Arabidopsis thaliana: one gene and its partners. The protein of the gene in region 1 interacts with the protein of each later gene in a pairwise test. Each region holds a gene or a part of one and is shown in the gene's direction. Other genes may lie near its edges.

The links.
Region 2: the proteins of AT1G20770 (region 1) and SPX4 interact in a two-hybrid assay, tested with the Arabidopsis thaliana proteins (one large-scale study listed by BioGRID).
Region 3: the proteins of AT1G20770 (region 1) and AT5G03050 interact in a two-hybrid assay, tested with the Arabidopsis thaliana proteins (one large-scale study listed by BioGRID).
Region 4: the proteins of AT1G20770 (region 1) and AT4G24050 interact in a two-hybrid assay, tested with the Arabidopsis thaliana proteins (one large-scale study listed by BioGRID).

The regions. Positions count from the first base shown.
Region 1 is NC_003070.9:7,214,121-7,219,285, reverse strand, and holds AT1G20770 (coiled-coil protein), read left to right. Parts: upstream 1-2,388; 5' UTR 2,389-2,637; coding exon 2,638-2,805; intron 2,806-3,083; coding exon 3,084-3,201; intron 3,202-3,323; coding exon 3,324-3,470; coding exon of another isoform or gene 3,471-3,553; coding exon 3,554-3,603; intron 3,604-3,693; coding exon 3,694-3,781; intron 3,782-3,864; coding exon 3,865-3,941; 3' UTR 3,942-4,271; downstream 4,272-5,165. Other genes in the region: SAUL1 (senescence-associated E3 ubiquitin ligase 1), read right to left, coding at 1-235, 532-841, 938-1,474; AT1G20760 (Calcium-binding EF hand family protein), read right to left, coding at 4,513-5,091.
Region 2 is NC_003076.8:4,978,201-4,983,370, forward strand, and holds SPX4 (SPX domain-containing protein 4), read left to right. Parts: upstream 1-2,173; 5' UTR 2,174-2,187; coding exon 2,188-2,730; intron 2,731-3,145; coding exon 3,146-3,302; intron 3,303-3,379; coding exon 3,380-3,843; 3' UTR 3,844-4,031; downstream 4,032-5,170. Other genes in the region: AT5G15320 (ATP synthase E chain), read left to right, coding at 411-458; AT5G15340 (Pentatricopeptide repeat (PPR) superfamily protein), read right to left, coding at 4,073-5,170.
Region 3 is NC_003076.8:712,428-718,501, reverse strand, and holds AT5G03050 (knotted 1-binding protein), read left to right. Parts: upstream 1-2,154; 5' UTR 2,155-2,281; intron 2,282-2,513; 5' UTR 2,514-2,518; coding exon 2,519-2,581; intron 2,582-2,669; coding exon 2,670-2,819; intron 2,820-2,895; coding exon 2,896-2,969; intron 2,970-3,064; coding exon 3,065-3,200; 3' UTR 3,201-3,201; exon of another isoform or gene 3,202-4,459; intron 4,460-4,480; 3' UTR 4,481-5,275; downstream 5,276-6,074. Other genes in the region: IMPA-9 (importin alpha), read left to right, coding at 1-34; AT5G03060 (striatin-like protein), read left to right, coding at 824-1,460, 1,539-1,780.
Region 4 is NC_003075.7:12,494,632-12,501,016, forward strand, and holds AT4G24050 (NAD(P)-binding Rossmann-fold superfamily protein), read left to right. Parts: upstream 1-2,423; 5' UTR 2,424-2,655; coding exon 2,656-2,776; intron 2,777-2,856; coding exon 2,857-3,088; intron 3,089-3,242; coding exon 3,243-3,322; intron 3,323-3,447; coding exon 3,448-3,604; intron 3,605-3,980; coding exon 3,981-4,062; intron 4,063-4,447; coding exon 4,448-4,535; intron 4,536-4,654; coding exon 4,655-4,701; coding exon of another isoform or gene 4,702-4,725; exon of another isoform or gene 4,726-4,838; coding exon 4,839-5,030; 3' UTR 5,031-5,695; downstream 5,696-6,385.

The DNA.
Region 1 (5,165 bases):
AGATCTTTGATAAGTGGGGGGAGAATTCCTTTGCTGATCAAGACCTTAGCACTCCCTTCGAACGATGAGATTTTGTTAAGAGCTTTCAAGGCAGCTTCCCGTTGGGGCATGTCACCACTTCTCATAAGATCGACAAGAGAAGAACCCACAGTCTGAGCCACAAGAACCTTCACATCGTTATTTAAGGGAAGCTCCCCGAGAAAGGAAGCCATAGAGAGTTTTGTTTCAGGTGAACCTGCAGATTTCACATGTGGTGTCATTATTCATACAAGAAATTTGCCATATAACAGAGGAAAATAATGAAAGATTTGACCATCTGGGTAGAAGAAAATTGACTCTTCTTACAAGCGAACATGTAAAATTCCTAGAGCAAACAAATTCTAAGGCAGAATACCATAACACTGTGATGCATCCGAACAACTGAAGGAAGAATTTTACCAACTGAAGGAAGATGATAACTTGTTTTATGCAAATGAAGTAGAGAGCGTAATTGTTATATTAAAACCAAACAAAGAAAAGAAATTCTTTCACCTTCAAGGAGTTTGCCTAGAAGAGGCTGGAGTCTACCATATGAAGCCATCTGCCTAACAATTTCCTCTGACCTCTCCATATTTTCCAAGGTTCTATCAGCTTTCTCAACAATTGAAACATTTTCTGAGTTGCTGCTTGTCAGACCAACCAATAATATTAGTGCTCCATGAATGGAACCAATCTTCTCGCACAAAGCTTCTGATTTAGAGAGCTCAAACAGCAAGGAAACAGCTGCCTCCCTCCCCTTTGATGGCTCATGTGATAAGAACTTAACTAGTGTACGCACAGTGTCCCCTTCAGCTACTATCGCCTGCAAGATGCTGAAAATTTAATTAGCACCCGCTCAATTTCCCATTAAAATGCTACACTAAATATTCAGCAGAGATGAAAAGAAATCAGATTCAACCTTGCTCTCATCATCTCCTTCAACGACAACTTGCAGAGTTTGTAGAGCCTTATACCGCACTCTATGGCTAGTACTTTTTAACATGTCGATGATCATATGGATAAGCTGAGAGTTGCGTACACCATGCCTATTTGATCGGATGGTCCTGCAAATCTGTCGCACATGCATCAAAGCTTGCAAAATATCTGTCTCAGCATTCCCTAAAAACAGTGACTGACGAGCAATGTCAAGCTTGGCAGCATCATTCCTGGATCTCCACTCTTCGATAGTGTTACGCAGAGCTATGCTGGCGCTTACATCAGTGCTAGTCAGCTCCTGAGATGTCAAAGGGCAAGAAGGAGGTCTCCCACTGTCCCGACACTCCTTGAACCATTTCTCAATGGCTTCACGCTCGAATGTTCGACCATTCTCTAAAGTGACAGGATCATGCATAACCTCCTTTGTCAATGGGCAGATGAATGCTTCATAGATATGATCTACTCCTCGCTCAAAATGAGAGCTATCATCTGACTGGTCACCATCCGAGCTTCCAACCATCTTAATCCTTCAAACTCACTGCAAATGTACAAGCAAATACCTCATTGTTATGAAACATAGGATCCTAGATGAAAACCCACTTGGATACATCAATGCAAGAGAGTCTGGTAAGAAAGTGTCGAAATTTGATAGTAAATGAATGAGAAAGTTTTGGAAACACAAAAAGGGATAGTACCACAGTTTGGTTCCCGGATTCTTTCACAGCCAAGGAAACAAAATTCAAACTTTCAATCATAACTATAACCTAAAATACGAAAAGTAACAGTGTCCCAAAATCATCACTCCCATGAACCCTTATATAGCAAGATTACCAAATTTAGCAATATTCGTCAAAAAGATAAAGAAGAGAAACAACGTCTCATGAAGCATTTCAAAAATACCAAAAGAGATAAAAAAAAAAGCACACCAGCCTGTTCCAGTTGAAGAAGCGCCTCCTCAAAGCTATACAGAGAAGGGAAAAGAAAAAACCAAAGTTGATTCTTCTTCTGAAGTTGACAATTCGAAAACGACCACTTCTTCAAAAATCTCCTTGAGCTAAAAACGCGCGAGAAAGTGTGAGTTCTTCTTCATCCATGGATCTAATTGCAAGCAATCGAGCTTGCCTCCTACTAAAATCTCGAGCAGAGTTGATTCTATCCCCGTGCGAGAACGAGAGAGACAGGTAAAAGCGAGAGGAAATAACAGAGAAGAAGATGGGTTGAAGAAAAAATCGAATTTTTAAGAGAAAAGCACGAAAGGTTGACTAAAATCGAAAAGTCATGTGAGAGAGAGAGATAGAGAGAGACGTGGAGCCACCAAACGCCAACTTGACAAACTGAGACAAACAGCCTGGCGCTGTGTTCACACACACTCGACTTGCTCTACCCACCCACCCATAAACATAACCGGTTTGACCCGAAAGAGGTAATCTTTCGACTTGGGCTATTGGTATTAATGGGCCTTTATTAATTGGATATTACGAAAATAGCCTCGTTTGATCCGTCTTTGTTTCGATCGCTTTACGTTGTCTTCTACTTGGGCTATTGGGCCTTTACTAATTGAAATATTACGAAAATAGCCTCGTTTACTCGAGAAATTGATCTGTCTCTGTTTCGATCGCTTTACGTTGTCTTCCTCGTGTAAGCTTCGATTTGTTGATTCGCGTGTGTTGGAGCTAAATTTCGATGGCGGAGATTTACGAGGAAGGAGATGAATCAGTGGATGTGAATAAAGAATCAGAAGTGAAAACTGAGCTGGGAAAAGGGGGAGGAGATGAGAATGTTTTGCAGTTTCTAGATTCGTTGGATGGATATTTAACGCTTATGGATTCTGTGAATTCTAAGCTTCGAGAGGTAATTGGAATGATATTTGGTGTATTGAGCTAAAATGGGATCTTATGGGAATGATTCTTATGTTCTGATGTATAGATGACTTGAGATATTCTGTGTTGAATTGAATTGAATCTGGGATTAAAAAGGATTGCGTGGGAAACGTTTTCGTTGATTATCTAGCTATAGTAGCCATGAGGAGAAACTTTTTTGTGGATTCATATCACTGATATGATGAGAGTGAGAGTCTGCTGCCTTAATTAACTTATTTGGTATGGAACTGAAATGTGTTATTTTTGCAGGGATGGTTTGATCTAGCTAGTGCTCGACATTCTATGGGAACTTTACGCATCAACAGCACTCTCTTAGATCTTAAGTATCATCCCGCTTCTTCAACATTGCAAGTGACTGACCAAGATGGTAAGTTTGGCTTATGCTTTGGGCGTTTGATAGTTCAATGGTTTACGTTTATATGCTATGAATTTATGTTTTTTTTGCGGGGAAGCAACTTATATACAGTGTATGTCTATGGACTCTTGTAGTTGAATCTTTGGGATCAGTACCTCATTTTGCTTTGTCCAAGTGGGCTTCCAAGGGCGGTAGCAGGAAAGGCAAAGACTTCTCTACTGATACAGATTCGGAGATAGGCTCACCTCTCAGCCCACAGCTACGACATCGAGGAGTTTCTGGTAAAAAAAGACTCATCTGTTGGTTATTCTCTGCCCTTTGTTTGTCGGTGTTTCATCATCTCTTGCTTTATGTAATTCGATAGAAGAGAAACCATCAGCCAAGGATGAAACCGTTTTAGCAGCTGATGAAGAGGTGAGCAATCATTTAACCGTCTGCAGAAACTCTACTTGTTTTCAAAATGTAGGACGATGGTTTTACTAATTCGAATGTGTTGAGCTCCAGATAAAGAAAGAACGGGCAAAATCTCTGTCAGTATTTGGAGGTCTAGTCTCTCCTAAGCTGCGTGGCGCTCAACAATCATTTGAAACAGGTAACATCCTCATCACCACAAGTATACTCAAAGGAAGATTCCAGTTTACAACTGAAACTCTTTTTTCTCTCGTCTTTGGACAGCTCTTGAAACTCTGGTGGAAATAGCCAACATGCGTGCATCGATGATATCTGCCTTTGAGCGGATCACAGAGAAGTGAAGTTCCTTGGTAACAACTGATCCTGAAATGTGCTCAGTGGATTCAACGGAAACAGAATGGAGCCAACCTCAAAGACTGATGTTACATTGATCATAGCAGTTTGATGCTGCGAAAATCATATCTTCTTCGAGTCAGAGGGTTAGAATGTACCAATGCATTAGCTCGATTTTCAATTTTGTAGCTACCACCTTCAAGTGTATCTGTTTTGATTTGGTTAAATGTTACCAGAAGTTCTTACAAGACCTCGAGCTAAGGATATATCAAAATAATAAAACATTTTGGAGAAGAGAAACAGTAAAAATGGAGAAAAATAAAATCATTTCATTGTCCTTTAATCTCTTATCCACGACGAAATCCTCAAATATTTCTTTCATATAAAGCAAATGAATTCATAACATAACAGAGATACAGTAGGAAACCAATACAGAGACAAACTTTACAAATTACAAATAGACTAACGCTAGTGTCTCATCCAAAACCAGAATTTGGTGAAAAAATTATAATTATGAAACAAGCACAAGTTCATCAAGCGAGGAAAAAGGATTATAAAAGGGAACGATAGTAACCGAGGCTAGAAGGAGTTCCAGTTATCTGACCTTTTCGTAGGGCTTTCATCCGAAGAGACTTTAAAGGGACCTGTGGAACCAAACGGGTCTGCATCATCAAACGAGTATCCATGGCTACCACTGAAATCCTTTGTACTATTCATAGAGTCGAATCTTGATAGCGAGGGACCACCAAAGTCTTTGCTACTGTTGATGGAATCAAACCTCGAAAATTTCTCAGCTCCAGTGACGTCTCTGGAACTGTTAATTGAATCGAACCTAGAGAAGGCAGCTCCACCAAAGTCTTTGGAGCTGTTGATGGAATCAAACCGAGACAGTCTCTCGGGCTGCGAAGAAAACCCGGCGCCTGCTTCACTGGTGTTGAAGGAGTCGAACCTGGAGAAGCTATCAAAGTTATTATCTCTAGCTGATGCATCGCTGAACCGAGGTGGAGAGTTCCCGAATCTTGAGAGTGGAGTGCTGGGGACTGAATCATCAAATGCAAATTGGCTCTTTCTCTGGGCGCCAAAGCTTCTTGAACTTGGAGAATCTGCTCTTGCTGTGTTTCCACCAAAATCGTCACCTGATCCAAAGTAATCTCCATCCTGCCAATGTTGATATTGAAAATGCTAAGCTTGGTTAAGACTCTGAATAGATAACTAAATGATTCAGCATACAG
Region 2 (5,170 bases), on another chromosome or scaffold:
TTGATCTTATAATCCCTTTTAGATTATCATATGCTACTTTTCTACAAGTCGTCAGCAATTTTTAAACGACTTTGTTGAAACACCACTTTGTGGTGTCTTTCTCTGGTTTTTGCTTCTGAAGTTACTAGCTTTTAAATGTTTTTGGTTGTTAGTCTCCTCTGTTCTCTTTGAGTAGCTGAGCCAGTGATGTGATGCCTTGAGCAAAATCTCTGGTTCATTCATCATGTTGCAAACTCTAAAAAGGTTTACATTGTTCAATCTTGTTGTTTGCTCATCCTGGTTCCTCCACTGATTATCTCTTTGCAAACCGGAAATGTTTTATAACTTAGATGTCTCTATACCTGAAATGTTCTTGAATATTAGTAGTATATGCTAAGATAAGTACCAACAAATTGCTTTTTCACCTGCAGATCAAATCGATGTCACAGAAGAAGGTTGAAGCCACCGCTCATCATTAAACCACTCTTCTTTCTTTACAATAAGATGCCAAAAGCTGGGGGTGATGTCTCCCCGGTTAGTTTGATTTCTTCTTTCATGATTCATCCTTTAGCATAAGAAGGAACAAATGTGTTTTTGAAAAGCATATTATACGGTTTTAAGACCTTTTTGGAGCCATAATTGCCATTGGCTTAAAACCCGAGTCAAGAACATCTTTCCATTTGTTGTCATCCAATAACACCGTTCACATTCACATACACCTCACCTCTTAACCAGATTATCTATAACACTAAGGACCTCAGTGTCCCGGTTTTGCGTTATATACTTCGTTTTGCAAGAGTCCTTATATTACTCTACTTGGTCCCATTGGACACAATCTAAGAAAGGGAGAAAAAAATTGGTCCTAAAAAGCATGTTCCAACTTCTTGTGTATCTGAGTTAATCAAAGAAAAATTGCTATTGTCGTTTCTGGTTTGTTGTCTGATTCAATCCAAGCAATCATGTAGTTTGAATTTGATTTCGGGATCTCTCTTACACTTTCCACCACGGCTTAAAAGTTCAAACAACTACCAATGTGTAAATTACCATTACTTCAGTGGCGACATATTCATTTGTCGACCTACGTTTTTGAATTATGTGGGTCTATGGATAATATGAAAAAAACTGAGCTTATTGTAGCCCAATGGGCAATATAAAAGTCAGCCCAAACGTAACACGCGTGGTTGTCGTCGAACTGCGAAATTCAAGTTTCTTACCATTCGCACAATGAGCGCGTCGATTTCGGCTTCAGTTTTGGACTTTTTGTGTTGAAGACTTTGAGCACTTAAAGGCTGACATTATTCAGGCTCTTGATAGTACCATATGAAGAAGTTGTCAACGTCCCGTTTGAGCTAAAGCAGTAGTTAAAGTCGTTCCTCACCTTTTCATTCCCTTCTTTTTTCTTCTTCCTACTATTAAAAACGAAACTACAGATGCCTAAATGTTGGAGGCATGAATAAATATGTTTAAATATATAAAAACAAACCCTGGTCACACACTTTAGCCAATAAGAATTTAGAGTCGTGACTATAACATCAACATTTAATTGTATAGTTTTTAGTGATAAGTACTGTTTAAAGTGATATAGTCTATGAATATAAGTGGATTTAATTCTGGATCCGCTTATAGTTATACGTAAAATATAAGGGAATCTCATTATATGGGAAGACGAATCTAATCTATTGGAATATAACGAATATTATTCAATAGTTTTTTTGGTTCTTTCTATTTTATTATAGGTGCATGCCCGTTCAAGCTCGTCAGAGGCTCATCTCAGGTTGACGATCTGGTTAAGAGCCACTTTAGATAAAGCTATTATAATTCTGTGATGTTATTTCATGGAACTTCATGGACATATTGTATATGCATATAATCACAACTTGCTGATTTTTTTAAAATTAACATAATCAAATGCCGAAGAAAAACGAACAGAATCACTTTGTTTAGATGAATTTTAATGATAATTGATTCGCTTGTGCCAATTTATGTCGTCCAGCTAACTTTTAATCTAACCTTTTTCTATTGGAGCATCTTAATATTTTATTATTGAAACAAAACATTATTCCACATAATTACATCCGCAAATTATTCACTACATTTACATAATTACTTCAAGTAACAATTTTACCACATTATTTCAATTAGTACTTAACCACCAATGCATATTTGTTCCGAATTTCTTGATCGATAAATATCCAAATTAACAAGTTAATGAAGAAAAAAAACGAAGAAGATCAATGGTCAATATTTAATCAGAAGCATCCACGTCCACTTCATCAGATTCTATCTCTCTCTCTCTGTAAGATTCCTTGCTCTCGCGCTTTTCTCTCTCTCTCTCGCGTTCGTTCTTATCCACGAGCTCTGCACCGTCGCAATCTCCGTCTTCTCCATTTAGATCCAACACAGAGCCTTTTCTACATGAAATTCGGCAAAGAGTTTCGTACTCACCTCGAAGAAACTTTACCAGAGTGGAGAGACAAGTTCCTTTGCTATAAACCTTTAAAAAAGCTTCTCAAATATTATCCTTATTACTCCGCCGATTTTGGACCCGCCAATTCCGATCACAACGATTCGCGTCCAGTATTTGCTGATACTACTAACATCTCTTCCGCCGCCGACGACGGCGGTGTGGTTCCCGGCGTCAGGCCATCGGAAGATCTCCAGGGTTCGTTTGTGAGGATACTTAACGATGAACTTGAGAAGTTTAACGATTTTTACGTTGATAAGGAAGAAGATTTCGTTATCAGATTACAGGTTTTTGCTTCCGAATTTATTCTAGCTTCAGGATTTTAGGTCAAGTTAGAACTTGGTTCATGTGATTACTGATTCAGAAGCTAAACAAGTTTCTAGAATTGAATCATTCCATAGGTTATCTTCGATTGGATGATTAATCTCGAATCCTAGAACAAAATTGCTAGTAGTTGAAACCGGAGGTAGTTCTAGTGATGATCTCTAATCAAATTGGATCTAGTTTCTCTGTGCTTCAAGTGAGTTTGTCTGTATTGATGTAATGATACAGTGGTTTATTTGCTCTGTGGTATATCACAATCGAGATCACATTGCTTAGATATTAGTATGGTTTATGAGCCTTGGTCATCTTCTTGCTCTGCTTGTTTATAGACATATGAAGCTCTAATTGATTAGTGTGTGTTCATCATTTTGCAAACAGGAGCTCAAGGAAAGAATCGAGCAAGTTAAAGAAAAGAATGGGGAATTTGCATCAGAAAGTGAGTTCAGCGAAGAAATGATGGATATTCGGAGAGACCTTGTTACCATTCATGGCGAGATGGTGCTCCTGAAAAACTACAGCTCCCTTAATTTTGCAGGTAATCATATATTTTAACTAGAAAACCAATTTTTGTAACACATTACTACTGTATGCTAAAAACATCTTCCATTCTAGGACTTGTCAAGATTTTGAAGAAGTACGATAAAAGAACAGGTGGACTTTTACGTTTGCCTTTCACACAGCTTGTTCTCCATCAACCCTTCTTTACTACAGAGCCACTTACTAGGTTAGTCCGTGAATGTGAGGCCAATCTTGAGCTTCTTTTTCCTTCAGAAGCGGAAGTTGTAGAGTCTTCTAGCGCAGTGCAAGCACACTCAAGCTCACATCAGCACAACTCCCCAAGAATCTCAGCTGAGACTTCCTCAACTCTCGGCAATGAAAATCTTGATATATATAAGAGTACACTCGCTGCAATGAGAGCTATAAGAGGGTTACAAAAGGCTAGCTCGACGTACAACCCTTTATCATTCTCATCGCTTCTTCAGAACGAGGATGATGAGACGGTAACAGCTGAAAACTCTCCAAACTCTGGGAACAAAGATGATTCAGAGAAGGAAGATACTGGACCTTCCCACTGATCAGAAGAGAATGATGCTCTTTTTGATCAAGATTTTGAGAATTTGCTTCTTGATTTCACCCTAACTTTTCATAAAATTAACACATTTTACTTTACTTCTTCACCTTTTGCAGGACACAACTTCTGTATGCATTTGAATTGTAGTACAGTCGTTTATAGATTTTCAATGAAATTTTCCTCCATTGTCTCAACCTTGTCTCATTTTGCAAATTTGTCATTCTCATATCTGTTCACCAATAATCGGAACAAGAACAAGAACCTCCCTTGAACTGATGAAATCTATTTCTGTCTCTGATGATGATTTCTCGGTCATAGACCTTTGAAACAATCTTCATAGCCGAATGACAATCTCGACATATCCTCAGATTCTTGAAGACAAGAAGAGGTGTACTCGGTTTTGTTTCCAGAAGCCCGAAACAGACAGCCAATTTCTCGCTGTGACAGCACAAAGCTTGCTCTTTTTCCTCCAAGTCACCCTCCGAATGTGAAACCAGGCCAGAGACATCAGGGACGTAGCCAGCTGATCTTATCCGTTCAATCACTTCATTCAACTTCAAGTAGATCTCTTTCGTTCTCGGATGTGATCTATCTCCTGAACTAAACCGATGTACTGAGTCATTAACATAAATGGAACTCAAACCAGGTATTTTTCTGATGCCTCGCTTTCTCAGACTTCCCCTTAACCCATCAGCAATGTCACTCCTTCCTTCTGCAACATACATGTTGGACATAAGTATTTGATACTCTGTGTTGCCTGGACTCATCTGAATAAGCTCTCTTTTAATTCGTTCGGCTATCTCCACCTTTCCATGGACACTGCACGAGCCTAGAAGCGAACCGAGGACAACTTCATTCGGAGGCACTGGCATTTCCCTCATCAAGATCTCTGCTTCTTCAATAAGACCAGCTCGGCCCAAAAGATCTACCATACATGCATAATGGTCAACCTTAGGTTCCAAACCATAGAACCGGAGGCTGTGGAAACATCGCCACCCTTCATCTACTATCCCCGAGTGGCTGCAAGCACTTAAGACAGCAGTGAAGGTTAAGTCATCTGGCTTCACCTCTCTTATCATCTGTGGGAACATGTCAATCACCATTCTACCTTTCCCGTGCATTGCTAACCCGCTGAACAAAGCATTCCATGTCACCACATTCCTCTTACGCATCAATCTGAAGACGTTCATGGAAGAATCTATGTTTCCGCATTTAGCATACATATCAACCAATGCCGTTCCCACCATCACATCATCATAACTTGCTTCCTCCCCCATCATCATTTCCTTCTTCAATGCATACACATGAACCCATCTTCCAACTACCAGATT
Region 3 (6,074 bases), on another chromosome or scaffold:
ATACTTTGGTGAAGATTATGGAATCGATGAATGAAATCGCCTCGGATTTTAGGGTGAGAATACAAAGAAAGTCGGATGATGAAATCAAAAGGAAACTAGTCATCTTAGCGTTTGCTTGTAACGATAGTGAGTGAGAGAGAAAGACAATAGTCTTTAGGTTTTGTCTTTTGGGTTGTTGTTGTAACTACTTGTAATACAGTTTTGTCTCACCGAAGGTTTGATTCCTTTTTGTCGTATCCTCCTTGTCACTTCAAATCCAATTATAAGATACACTGTCAATGTAATTATGATTTTTAGATACGGTGGTATTTTATTTGAATATCGAATTATCTTTTTAATCTAAGCTAAACTAAAGTAAATGATTTTACTTGTTTGAGGACATGAATGGGAAGAGAACAAAAATTTGGATTAAGTTCAATTTAACACTAAACAAAGATTCAATTATTAACTTGATCATGAATATGTTGTCCTTTCGTATTCCCGCTTCATTTTCTCTGTTTCTAGGGATTTGCTTTTTCCCTTCTCTGTAGCTACTTTCATTTTCCAGTAGCTAGCTCTTTCTCTCTTCTGGTCGTTTGAAGAAGAAGAAGATTCAAAAGATTTTCTGGGTAAGATTCTTCTTCTTCTTCCGTTGTACATTTTGGTTTAAAGATCCGCTAGTGTTAGTTTCCCCGTTCTTCTTCCGGTGGAGCTTAGAACGAATTTGAGTTTTAGGGTTTCTTTAGAAATCTGTGAAATTTTGTAAATTTGGCAAAGATAAAGAAGCTCTAGTAAAAGCTTGACCGCTGTTTGTGTTGATATCCAGGGTTAGGGTTTCGACGTCATGACTGGAAAATCATCAGCTCGTTCAAACAAATCGGGGAAGAACAAAATCTCGTCGGTGGCTACTCCGACAAGAAGAAATTTGGTTGTTCAGGAGGAGATTTTGGCGACAAAACATGAAATTCTCAAGGAGAATTATGAGAATCTGGAAAAAGATTACAAAAGTATAGAGGAAAGTTTTAAGCAGATGAATGAAATGAACGAGATAATGAAGTTTCAATATCAGAAGCAAATTAAGGAACTCGAGGAGAAAATTCTAAGCTTGCTTAAGGATTTAGAGAAAGAGAGAAGTGAGAAAGAGGAGTATATGAAGGAGATGAAGGGAATGATCAGTGAGAAAGAGGCCATTATCAATGATTTGAGTGTTAAGAATCAGGAGCTTTTGATTGCGAAAGAGGAAGAAGTGGAGAAGCTGAAGAAGATGGAGAACAAGTATGCTGAATTGAAAGAGAGATTTGATGCGGCTGAATCACAATGTTCATTCTTGAAATCGCTTTTTGATGCTGAGAATCTCGCCGGTCTAGGGAGTAGCGATGTGGCTTTCGAAAATGAGGTTATTGTGGTGGAGGATTATAATGTGACTATCAAGAATGAGGTTATTATGGTGGATGATCATAATGTGAATAACACTCCAACAGGTATGTATGTATGTTCTTGATATGTTGGTGAACCTCTCTTGTAAGAAAATTTATTTGAATATTTTCTGTTGTGTGCAGATACGATTGTGATCCTTGACGAGAGTGATGCTGAAAATGATAATCCTCATCCAAGAGAGAGTAACATAATCTCTGAAAATTCTGTTGATGTAAAACAAGAACAACAATCAGCTGGACCAAGCTCATCAAAAGTAAATCGTCTATTGTCATCATCGTCGTCATCATCATCATCATCATCAGTTGAACATGTATTCGTTGAGCTTCCCTTTAAAAGGTCCCGGGATATTTATAACAAGTCTTGAACCTTTCTCGATGCAGTGATCACTGAGCCAGAAGAAGTTGCTCACTCTTAAGTTAAGCTAGTTTAAGGTATATCTTATCGATCCTCCGGTTTATTGTTTTTTGTTTTGTCCCGGAGGTTGTAACATTTTTTGGACGAGATAGATAAAAAAAACGATTAGTATCTGATTAGGTGAATATTTTGGCTGTATGTTTTTTGTAAAATGTTTGGATTACTCGGCTTAATATCAAATCGCATCTAAATCGCTTTGATTCTTGAGTCACTCCTCCATACTTAAAACGCCAATAGCATTGTATAAGCATAATTACTTAATTAGTGATGATTATGAAACAGAGACAATAAAATAAAATAAGTCTTAAATCTAAACGCTTATTTAAATGGATTCTCGGAATAAACAAATTGGCTTTTCTTCCTCATTCTCTACACTCACTGGACTCTCTCTAAAACTTCTTCATCTTCTTCTCTCCAATTCGTACTGAGCAATTTCTTCGATCTTCATCGCGTAAGTTCTCTGTTAATCTCTTTCGGAGGTTTTTTCGTCGATCTCGATCTAGTTTCTTCCGTTCTATTGTAGAATCCTAAGCTAGATTGTTGGGGATGTAATCGTACGGTTTTTAGATTTTGAAATCGGAATCTGCTGCGATGCTTTAGCTAGTGGATTCAATCGCATCGAGTAGAAAACTTAATTCTTAATCTGTTTATGCGTTCATGAGCATCGTTTTAAATTACTGCAGTTTTGATGAACACTGAAATGGAAGAAGACGCAGGGAATGGAGGATTTCGGAAACGCATGAGAGCATCTGTAAGTTTTTTTTGAATTTGTCGTTGATCTGGTGATGATGATTTTGTGGTGGATCAGATTTTTGATTTTGTCCTGTGAAATTTGTTAGGATGAAGAGGGAAAAGGAGATTCGAGAGATGGAATTAGCCTTGATCATACCATTGAGAATGAAGAAGCTGAGACGAAACTTGTTGCTTCTGATGAGATGGAACTTAGCATTGCGCAAATTCTCGATAAGATTGAGAGCTTCACACAAACTGTAAGCTGCTCTTATCATTTCCCTGATTGCTTAAGTTTAGGAAGAATCTGATATTGATTGATGCTTCTTGTGGTAGGTTTCTAACTTGCTGGAAACAGGGAAAACAATGCTCAAGGAACTCAGTAACGAATTCGAAGAACGCTTGATCATGTGAGTTTGAAGAGATTCTATAATGTTTCTGTATGTACCATGATTGAGATGTTTATACACTCACATGTGTAACACTGTTCACATTTATGAAACAGGATACACAAGGAACATGTTGAGAAATGGCAGGACGAGATCAAGGAGTTGCGTTTGCTTGATGCATCAAACGAGGAGACTACTTCCCTCTTACACAACGCTCGCTATCTGATTCAGAATCCTAGCATTGAGCAATGAGGTAAACAGTCTAAAACCCTATCAAGAAGTACTATCAGCCATTACTAAGAATAGATTATCTTCTGTCGTCCAGTGGTGTAAGAAGTCATATATATAACTTTAGATCAACATATGGTTGGTTTGAGAATTTAGATTTCTTCAGTTTCAAAAACTTTATGATGTTTTGAAGGAAACATAGAAATAGCTTATCATGAACCTTTCTCAGCTAATTAAAACCAGAATTGTGTTTGCTTCTTTATTAGATTTTGGAGTGAATATAGAAAATGACTCATATCTCTAGTTCGATCAAAAACCAGTAACTCTTCATTCTCTTTTGCAATTCTTAAATGTTTTTCTCAGTTCTTGTTTCAACTCAATCTCCCAAAAACTCTCATGCTGAACGTAACCCTATCTTTTAAAAAATATTATTATAAAATTGTTTTCTTATAACTATAAATATTATTTTAAATGTGTATGTTTAACTGAAAAAATAGATGAACTGAAGTAGTAACAAAAGTTGAATAGTGGTGAAATTAAATTCTCTGAGGTGATATAGATGGACATGGACTAATCTATATATGAAGTTGTAAACTGTTAATTCAATTAAATTCACTGGGAAGAAAAAGGTATGGCGTTATCATGGGTTCAGGTTTAGGTGTTAGCCAATATAGGAATCTTCTACCGTTGCTCTGTTACAAAACGACAAGACTTAAATGTCGGGTCGTTACCAAACTCACTGGCTCATCTAAATATCTTTAAAACGCTAACGGCCCTGACCTTATTTCCATGCCCCACTTACATTTCAGATAATGCCAAATGGATTTTTCGGTTCAATTTTGGTTTAGTTATCTTTTTTTTCCCCCGGTTTAATTAACTTATAAATTTCACTTGCTAGAATGCAAAGACCAACTCAAAGTTGACCGACGGGGAGAGAAATTTTCATAATAGCTTATAATTATTTTTTATTTTATTGGCAACGACAAAGTTTGAATTATACATTAGGTGGAATGTCCATATCCCCAATTCAACTACCGACTTTGGATATACAGATACCTATTAATATTATAAGTTATCAGAGGCATATCTTTATATAAACAGTTATACATAGGACTTTGATATGTTGGACATATGATTAGCTAAAATAAATTATCAAATTCCAACGGCTAGTTCTCACTTATTTTATATGAAAATAATTTTAGGGATGTTATACTAACGAAACAGAGAAGACGCCACATGGAGTGATTGGACATATATATGCTTTTTTTTTTTTTTTTTTTTTTTCTTAACCACAAAAATTACAGGAAGACTGGTACAAGCTGGCCACCGATAAGGAACCTTTTGGGTTTATCTCCGAAAAAAGTCAATGATTTCAGGCAGATAATACTTAATCCAGTGGACAAAAATTATATACTCTTTCAATCATCGTTCTAGTTCACTGTATGTCAATCCATATAATTTGGGAAATTGCTTTTGTGGTGGATATACACGATCATAGAGCAAAATACAGTCTGCTAATAGCTGTTGCATAAAACGAGTTTTTCCAAAGCATTATTTATGGTTTGTGTCACTAGGTATTATGAGTCAAATATTTTCTTTGTTCATCCATCGGAGATTAACTTAGTAGTGTGGGTGGATCTGAACATAAAATATGATATGGTGTACAAGTACAATGACCAACTAATTTTCATGATTTATCAAATCCAGAAAGTATTAAGTATCGTATATGGTGGCTTGTTAACGAGTATATTTTAAAATGATAAAGGCTGTCTCACTGGTGGACATATTTTGTTCACATGTTTTGTCGGTTGTAGTAATGTAAGCGTGTATTAAAACACACATACTTTATACGGATTATGCAGATGAATTAATTCGATAAACAATTGGTATTTGACGACAAAAAATACGATCTTAAATCTTAATTCGATTAATAACAGATATTTAACGGCAAAAATATAGTGTTATATTTTAACCCGCCTAAAGACAAAAATTAAAGACGAATAAAAACTTTTTATTGCAACAATTTTGTTTTATTAGGTGAAATTAAAGACCAATCTTACCGGATAAAGTTATAAATTAATTTAAAATTTATATGGTCACTGTTTTATCGATCCTCATAACTTGTTCATTAAATTATCTAGTTTCAAAAAAGGTACAAAATCCAATACATTTTCCAGTTTACACGTTATCCATATTTTAAGAAAATTTCAAACATTTTTAGAGAAAACACCAATATACCATGTCAACTATGTATACTATTTTTGAAATGCACCAAATAATAATAAATCTAAAGATACTATACTATAAAAAGAAAAATTAACAAAACAGTGTTTATGAAACTTAAGAAATAAAACTCATCACTAAAAAAAAAAAGTGAAAAGAATAGAGTAAAAGAGAGACGAAGTTGGTAAATTAAGAAGAAGAAAAGGAAAAAAAGAAGAGTAGAATGGGGCCCACAAAAGAGGCCCAATTAAGTGGCATCACGCACAAACACACACCGTCACAAATACTCTTCTTCACACAGCTTTGAATCCATCTGTCTTCTCCTCTCTCTCTCTTCTCCATTTGCAATTATGATAATGTGAAAGCAATTCGAAGAAGAAAAGTTATCTTCGCACCTCAGCAAAGATCCAATCGATTCGATTCTTAAGCTTTTTCGTCTTCTCCGATAAGGTCACTACTTAGAAGCCGCGTTGTGGTTTAGTTGACTCCTCCAGGTTTTATCTTCAAGCTTTTTCGTCTATCAGATCTGGTGTCACTGTCTTCTCATAGGTACGATTCATTCTCTCCCTGATTCAGTATCAATTGGTGAATTTTAGCTCTAGATTTCGAGATCTGTCGTAATTTAGCTACTGAGATCAGTAGATTCAGTTTCCTTGTGGAATAATTTGTTTCTTC
Region 4 (6,385 bases), on another chromosome or scaffold:
TTCCAATTTTTCCCTTTGTCTTAAACCGAAAGTGATTTTTACTTTTTAGTTTAAGTGGTTAAGAAAGTAACGTTTTCAATCTTTTTTGGACAGATTTTTGCCTTTGGCATATACTCTTTAACATTGCCATGTTGATGAGGCGACAATATCGATATTTTTTTTTTTCACAAGTGTGATTGGTAATTATATGAGCCACACAACTTTTCTCATTTGGAATTCATAGTCAATCGACAGTGTCAGTTGCATAACAAAATTCATAGTTTGATCCAATATTAGGTCATTGAACTGAAGCAAGTTTCTTATATAGAAAAGTCTCTGACAAAACTAGAGTACTCGAAGATACTAGATCAAAAAGAGTACTTTCTACACATTATCTCCAAGAAAAAAAAAGGTGGGTAAGAAAACACTGATTGAGAGTAAGAGTTCAATATTCACTCGAACTCACTTTTGGATAAGCGTAATCGAGCTACCAACGTGACAATGAGCTGGAATCTTGTACTCAAGACACAACAAGGACAATACGAAAAAGGCAAGGAGGGAGAGAAGCTTTGCATCCCCAATCATCTATTGTCGTTTGTATGAAAGGGAACACACATGAAGCTCTCAGATGTGCCAAACAAGAGAGATAAAGAAAGCTTCACATAAGCATCATGGTTTTTGAATGTGTTCAAAGTTTGTAAAGAATGAGATTTTTTGTGTGAATTTGGGGATATAAACGACATGTGAATATGTGATAAACTGAATATATTAATTTCGTTCTCCTTCTACAATTTAACAGAATTTTATTTTTATTATTTTTATCAATTTCATACTTGTAAAACTCTCTGTCCTTCTCTTATTGATATTTGATTTGATTTTTTTGTATAGTAAATATGTTCATCCGTGAGAGATGCATGTGAGCTTTATATGTTCAACAAAATTTCAAGCATATATAATCATTGGCTGAATCCTTACAAAAACTTATAACAATATGACTTAAAAACGGTATTGGATGTTACGGAGACTGAATTATTGAAAAATAATTGATCATTAGCAAATAATAACCAAACTAATTAGTAAACAAATTAAATATATTTTTTTGTCTATGACCGTGTTCCAAGGGAGAGGAGAAGCGATCCAGCACGCGGTGAGTAAACCTCACGTGCGTAAACCTTCTCACAAGATTCTTCTTTAACGTTTCTACGAGACTAATTACTTCCTTATTCATCCACATACCACATTGCCTCTCCTGCCGTTTTCACGTTTACTGCTCTAACTACTCGTTGTCTCCATGTACTTACTTTATATTGTCTACGGTAGTCCCAAGACCGCGCTTATTCCGAGATTGATATAGGAAATACAAGTATTTAAAAAAAATTAGGATTAGTAAATGAGGAAAGAATAATGAGATAATGAGTGACACTAAGTATACAACTAATACGTCACGATTGTATAATTGTCCCCTACAAGTAGTCAAACCTTAGCCCTTTTGACCGTTAATATCTTGCATTTGACGATAATCTTTTCCGTGTTTTGATCTGTTTCCACTGTACAAAACTAAACGTTAATAAGCTCAGTATTGGGTACGTTAGTAAAAAATCAATCATAAAATATAAAATAATCTCACTTTAAGCTCCAACCAGAGACTGACAGCTGTTAGTTAGTTTGAATACTCAATAGTAATCAATTAGGTTTGACCAAAATAGCTTCATAAATTATTCATCAATCCAATAAGTCATTTAAGTGATAATTACCAAAAGGCACATGATAGCTCTCTAAATATAGATATACCAAAATCAATCCATACCAAAAGTTGATGATTTCTTTCCCTCTACACCATCGATATGTTGAATAGTTTAGATTTTTTCCAATATTTGTTTAATTATTATTTATATTGCCTTTATATATCAAAAGTGAAAAAATCCAAACAAAATCTTGTCAAAGAAATTAACACTGGATAAATATTTAGTTATTTTTGGATAACTTGTTTTGAAATTGAGTTTACCATTCCAAAATCAGCTTAACTTTGTCCAAAAATAAGGAAAAAATCAGTCTATATTTAACACATGTATTCTTTGTAAAGATTAAATCTAAAATTCTTTAAGACAAACTTGTGTTTTTTTTTCTGTATACATTGTTTCCCTAGTATTTTATGTTTCATCGTAATGCAGCATCTTTTGCTAACCTCTCTAGTAGGTTTTAAACAAGAATGAATATTGTTGACAATAATATCATAATAAAAATATTATACTGTATACAACAACTAGACCTACCACTACGAAATGATTTAAAACAAGAAGAGAGTACAAGAAGAATATGATAAATTTAATTTTAAAAAAATTCACCGATCGTATTGATAAAAAAGTTGTATCTACTTTTCTCTCTTTTTACCTCATCAATTAAAAAGTTGACTATAAATAACACATTACTATTTCTTCTCTCTCGCCAGGCGGCGTTGCCTACAAAAACCTGACAATCGAAACACAGTTTTTCTGATAATAATATAGACATTTACCATTATGCCCTTCTAACTGAAAACGGCAATTACGTTCCTTGTTATTTGTTTTCTTCCTTCTCCTTCTGTTTCTTTTTTGTGGCTTTAATTTTTTTCATATTAATTCGGAAAGAGAAAGACTCTTCACTCCCATAACAGTCGCCGGTAACAGAATCACTCCGATGATCGAGACTGGTAAATACCTTCTCGGCGCCGCCGGTGCTAGCGGTTTCGGCTCTAAATCCACCGCCGAGGAAGTTACCGAGAACTGCGACCTTCGTTCCATCACAGCGGTTATCACCGGTGAGTTCTTTTCCTCTCTGCTTCGTGTTTTCCGGTGAGTCGAGTCGTCAGGAGATTCTAACTAGTTGATTTGGTGATAGGTGCGACGTCGGGGATCGGAGCGGAGACGGCGAGAGTTCTGGCGAAACGAGGAGCGAGGTTGATTTTTCCGGCGAGGAATGTGAAAGCAGCGGAGGAAGCAAAAGAGAGAATCGTTTCTGAGTTTCCGGAGACAGAGATCGTCGTTATGAAGCTTGATCTTAGTTCTATCGCCTCCGTACGAAACTTCGTCGCCGATTTCGAGTCTCTTGATCTTCCTCTTAACCTTCTCATGTAAGTCTTTAATCTTCTTTTTTTCCTAAGAATCATATGCATGTATATTTACATAACTACGTGTTAATCTAAGTTCTTAATTCGGATTAATTTGTTTTAAACATTATTGTTATGTTATGTGATTATTTTATTATTTATGCAATTGTGGAATCAGAAACAACGCAGGCAAGTTAGCACATGAACATGCAATATCTGAAGACGGGATCGAGATGACATTTGCTACTAATTATCTAGGTATAGTAGTATTTTCCTAATTATACGATTCCCTTAGTCTATGACAGATCTTAATTACCCTATATACTAGTATTACTTTATTGTTAATAGCCTTCTTAATTTTTTAATCCATTCACAATGATCAGGCCATTTTCTCTTGACCAATCTTTTGCTAAACAAGATGATTCAAACGGCAGAGGAAACAGGAGTTCAAGGACGTATCGTTAACGTTACGTCCGGTATTCACGGATGGTTCTCCGGCGACTTGATCGAATATCTCCGACTCATTTCACAACCCAAGTGGTAAGTTTGTGTTATGTTCTGGTTGAGTCATGAGGTATAAATGTTTCATTCCATACTTAATTGTTATCTATACATCAAAACTCCAAAGCAGAAGTGTAAATAATGTACCATCTACAATCCTTATATCAACCTAATAGCTAGAAGCCTAGAACTATAAATGAGAGAGTAGGATTGGTGTTCTTGAGAGGTGAATAAAAACTTGTCGAGGAATTTACTTTTTACCAAAGCAAAAAGCTGCGTAGTTGTTAATGTTTTGATTGATGAGTGACAGTAACTCGATAGGAGGGTAATAAATGGGAAAAGAGAAGTAAAAAGGTTTTGACTTTTGACCTTTGGAAAATGTAATAAATCTTTCTTTTTGGTTTTGATCGATTAGTCAATTCGATGCGACACGTGCGTATGCTCTCTCGAAGCTTGCCAACGTTTTGCATACCAAGGAGCTCTCTTCTAGACTCCAGGTCTCTTTCTCTCCCACACCTATCTCTCTTATTTACTTGCATCCATTTAATTATTCCCCCAAAAGTTAATTATTCCCAAAAAAAACTCTGAAGCATTATGGTAGAAATTAATGTGTGTCATAATGGTCAAATTTATTGATTTTTCTTAGTGTAAAAGAAAAGAGTGAAAGGTATGGGAAGGGGACAACAAGAAACCTAGATAACTAGGAGATTTGTATTCTAACCAAATATATGAAAGTGTTAGTTAAGTCACACACTACAAAGTTTATTTTTGACTATTGACCATAGTTAGGATTTAGGACAATCATGTGGGTCATTAGCATAAAGTGATTAAAGTTTAGTATATAAAAATAGAATCTAATTGTAAAAGAAAACAAAATTGCAGAAAATTGGAGCGAATGTTACGGTAAATTGCGTACACCCAGGAGTTGTTAGAACCCGGTTAACAAGAGACCGAGAAGGTCTATTGACAGGTTGGTTTATTTTTTTTTTTCCTCATTACCTTGTCATATTATTTTATCATGAATTATATGATCATGATTAAGATTCCAAATTATATCTATATGACTTCCTTTTGTCTTTACCTACTCAGATCTCGTCTTCTTCCTGGCTTCCAAGCTCGTTAAGACCGTCCCTCAAGTAAATAATTGTTATTTTCGTTAGTTATAAAGTTTGTAACATAATCTGTGGTGGATAAGTTATTCTTTTTGTTTTTAATCCTGTTTAAGATTATTGGATTTATGTGCTACTTTTTTTTTGTTTTGGCATGGGATTAGGCAGCAGCAACGACGTGTTACGTGGCAACAAATCCAAGACTGGTGAACGTATCGGGAAAGTATTTTACGGATTGTAATGAAACGACACCGTCTGGACTCGGAACCAACTCCAGCGAAGCTACCAAATTATGGGCTGCTTCTGAGATTCTGGTTACTCAACATTCCAAGACCAGTTTCGACCCATGTAGCTAAGAAGAAGAAAAAGTAATTATCTTATCTTCATATACCCCCTTAGGAAAAAAGTTATACTAGTATATCTTAGTAGATGAGAGAAAATATCACAAAAGTTTAGTTGATATATACAAATAGTATCCTGTTTCTATAGTGCGAATGCGAAGTTGATGTAGTCTTTGTTTATACTAACGTTATATTAAACAATATGAGAACAATTAATTATATAAGATATATTTGCTGAAGAGTTCAACTTGGACTAATATACTAAAGTTTTAGAATAATAAAGTTAAGTAGGAAATCATAATGTCAATCATTAGTTTCGAAGTGCTCGGAAGTTTGATAATTATGTGATTAAACTCATTTGGACTGATCTGTGAGAGATCTCTCCCTCTCTCTTATCGTTTTCATTTTTTCTTTCTTTCCAATATAATCGTTTATGACATTGAATATTCATATGTCCATGTGATACTATTTGGATGTTGATTTTCCTTTAATAATGAGTTTGCACTTTGCATTGATTGGTTACCCTTTTGCTTTAATAGCTAAATCTAAGTCGTGAAGAATAGAGGAAAATCTGTATGTTTTTAAATGTTGTACTCGAACTAATATTCTGCCTCTATACACATTTTTCATTTTGAAGTAAATTACAGAAATGGTATAACGAAACTATTAAAATATGGATAAGAAATCTACAAAGAAAATGAAAGAATAAAAATCATATAATATGAAAAAGGTGAGAAAAAGATAGATAGATGAGAATCGGTTAGAGATGGGACTTAGGACCATTTAAAATGGCGCATGATAATACTTTTGAGCATGGGTCTCTTTTCTCTATCTTCTCTTTTTCTTTTCTATCAAAAGGACCCTACTAACATGCGCCAGGGGTTTTCACTTTTCACTTCTGAAAAAGATCTCTCGTGCGCCATCAAACTTGCTCCGTCCTTACGGAATTTCAATCATTACATGAAGAAGAAAAGGAAAAAGGTTGGTGCAAAGAAGAGAGCTTAACACTTAAACAAGGAACAATGAACATGCTTTCTTAGTTTTAAGTTTTAACAATACTTTATAGAGTAAATCTAGCATTGTAAAACAAAACAGTTCACACGTGACATACATTTGATAAATTAATCTTACAGCTTTAAAAAGTGTTATTCGGTGATAAAATATTACTTTAGCAATAGCAAGAATTTAGATAGTTGTTTAGGAAAAGTTACGGGCTAATAACTCATAATGGACCTATACCTTATTTGAAGAAGGCATTAACTATGAAATTAAAAGCCCACATGTATTGAGCCCCCTAGAGTCCTTAATGCGAACTTCATCTTCTCCTTCTTTTTTTTTTGAATTTGCAATGGTTAGTAAATACTAATAGT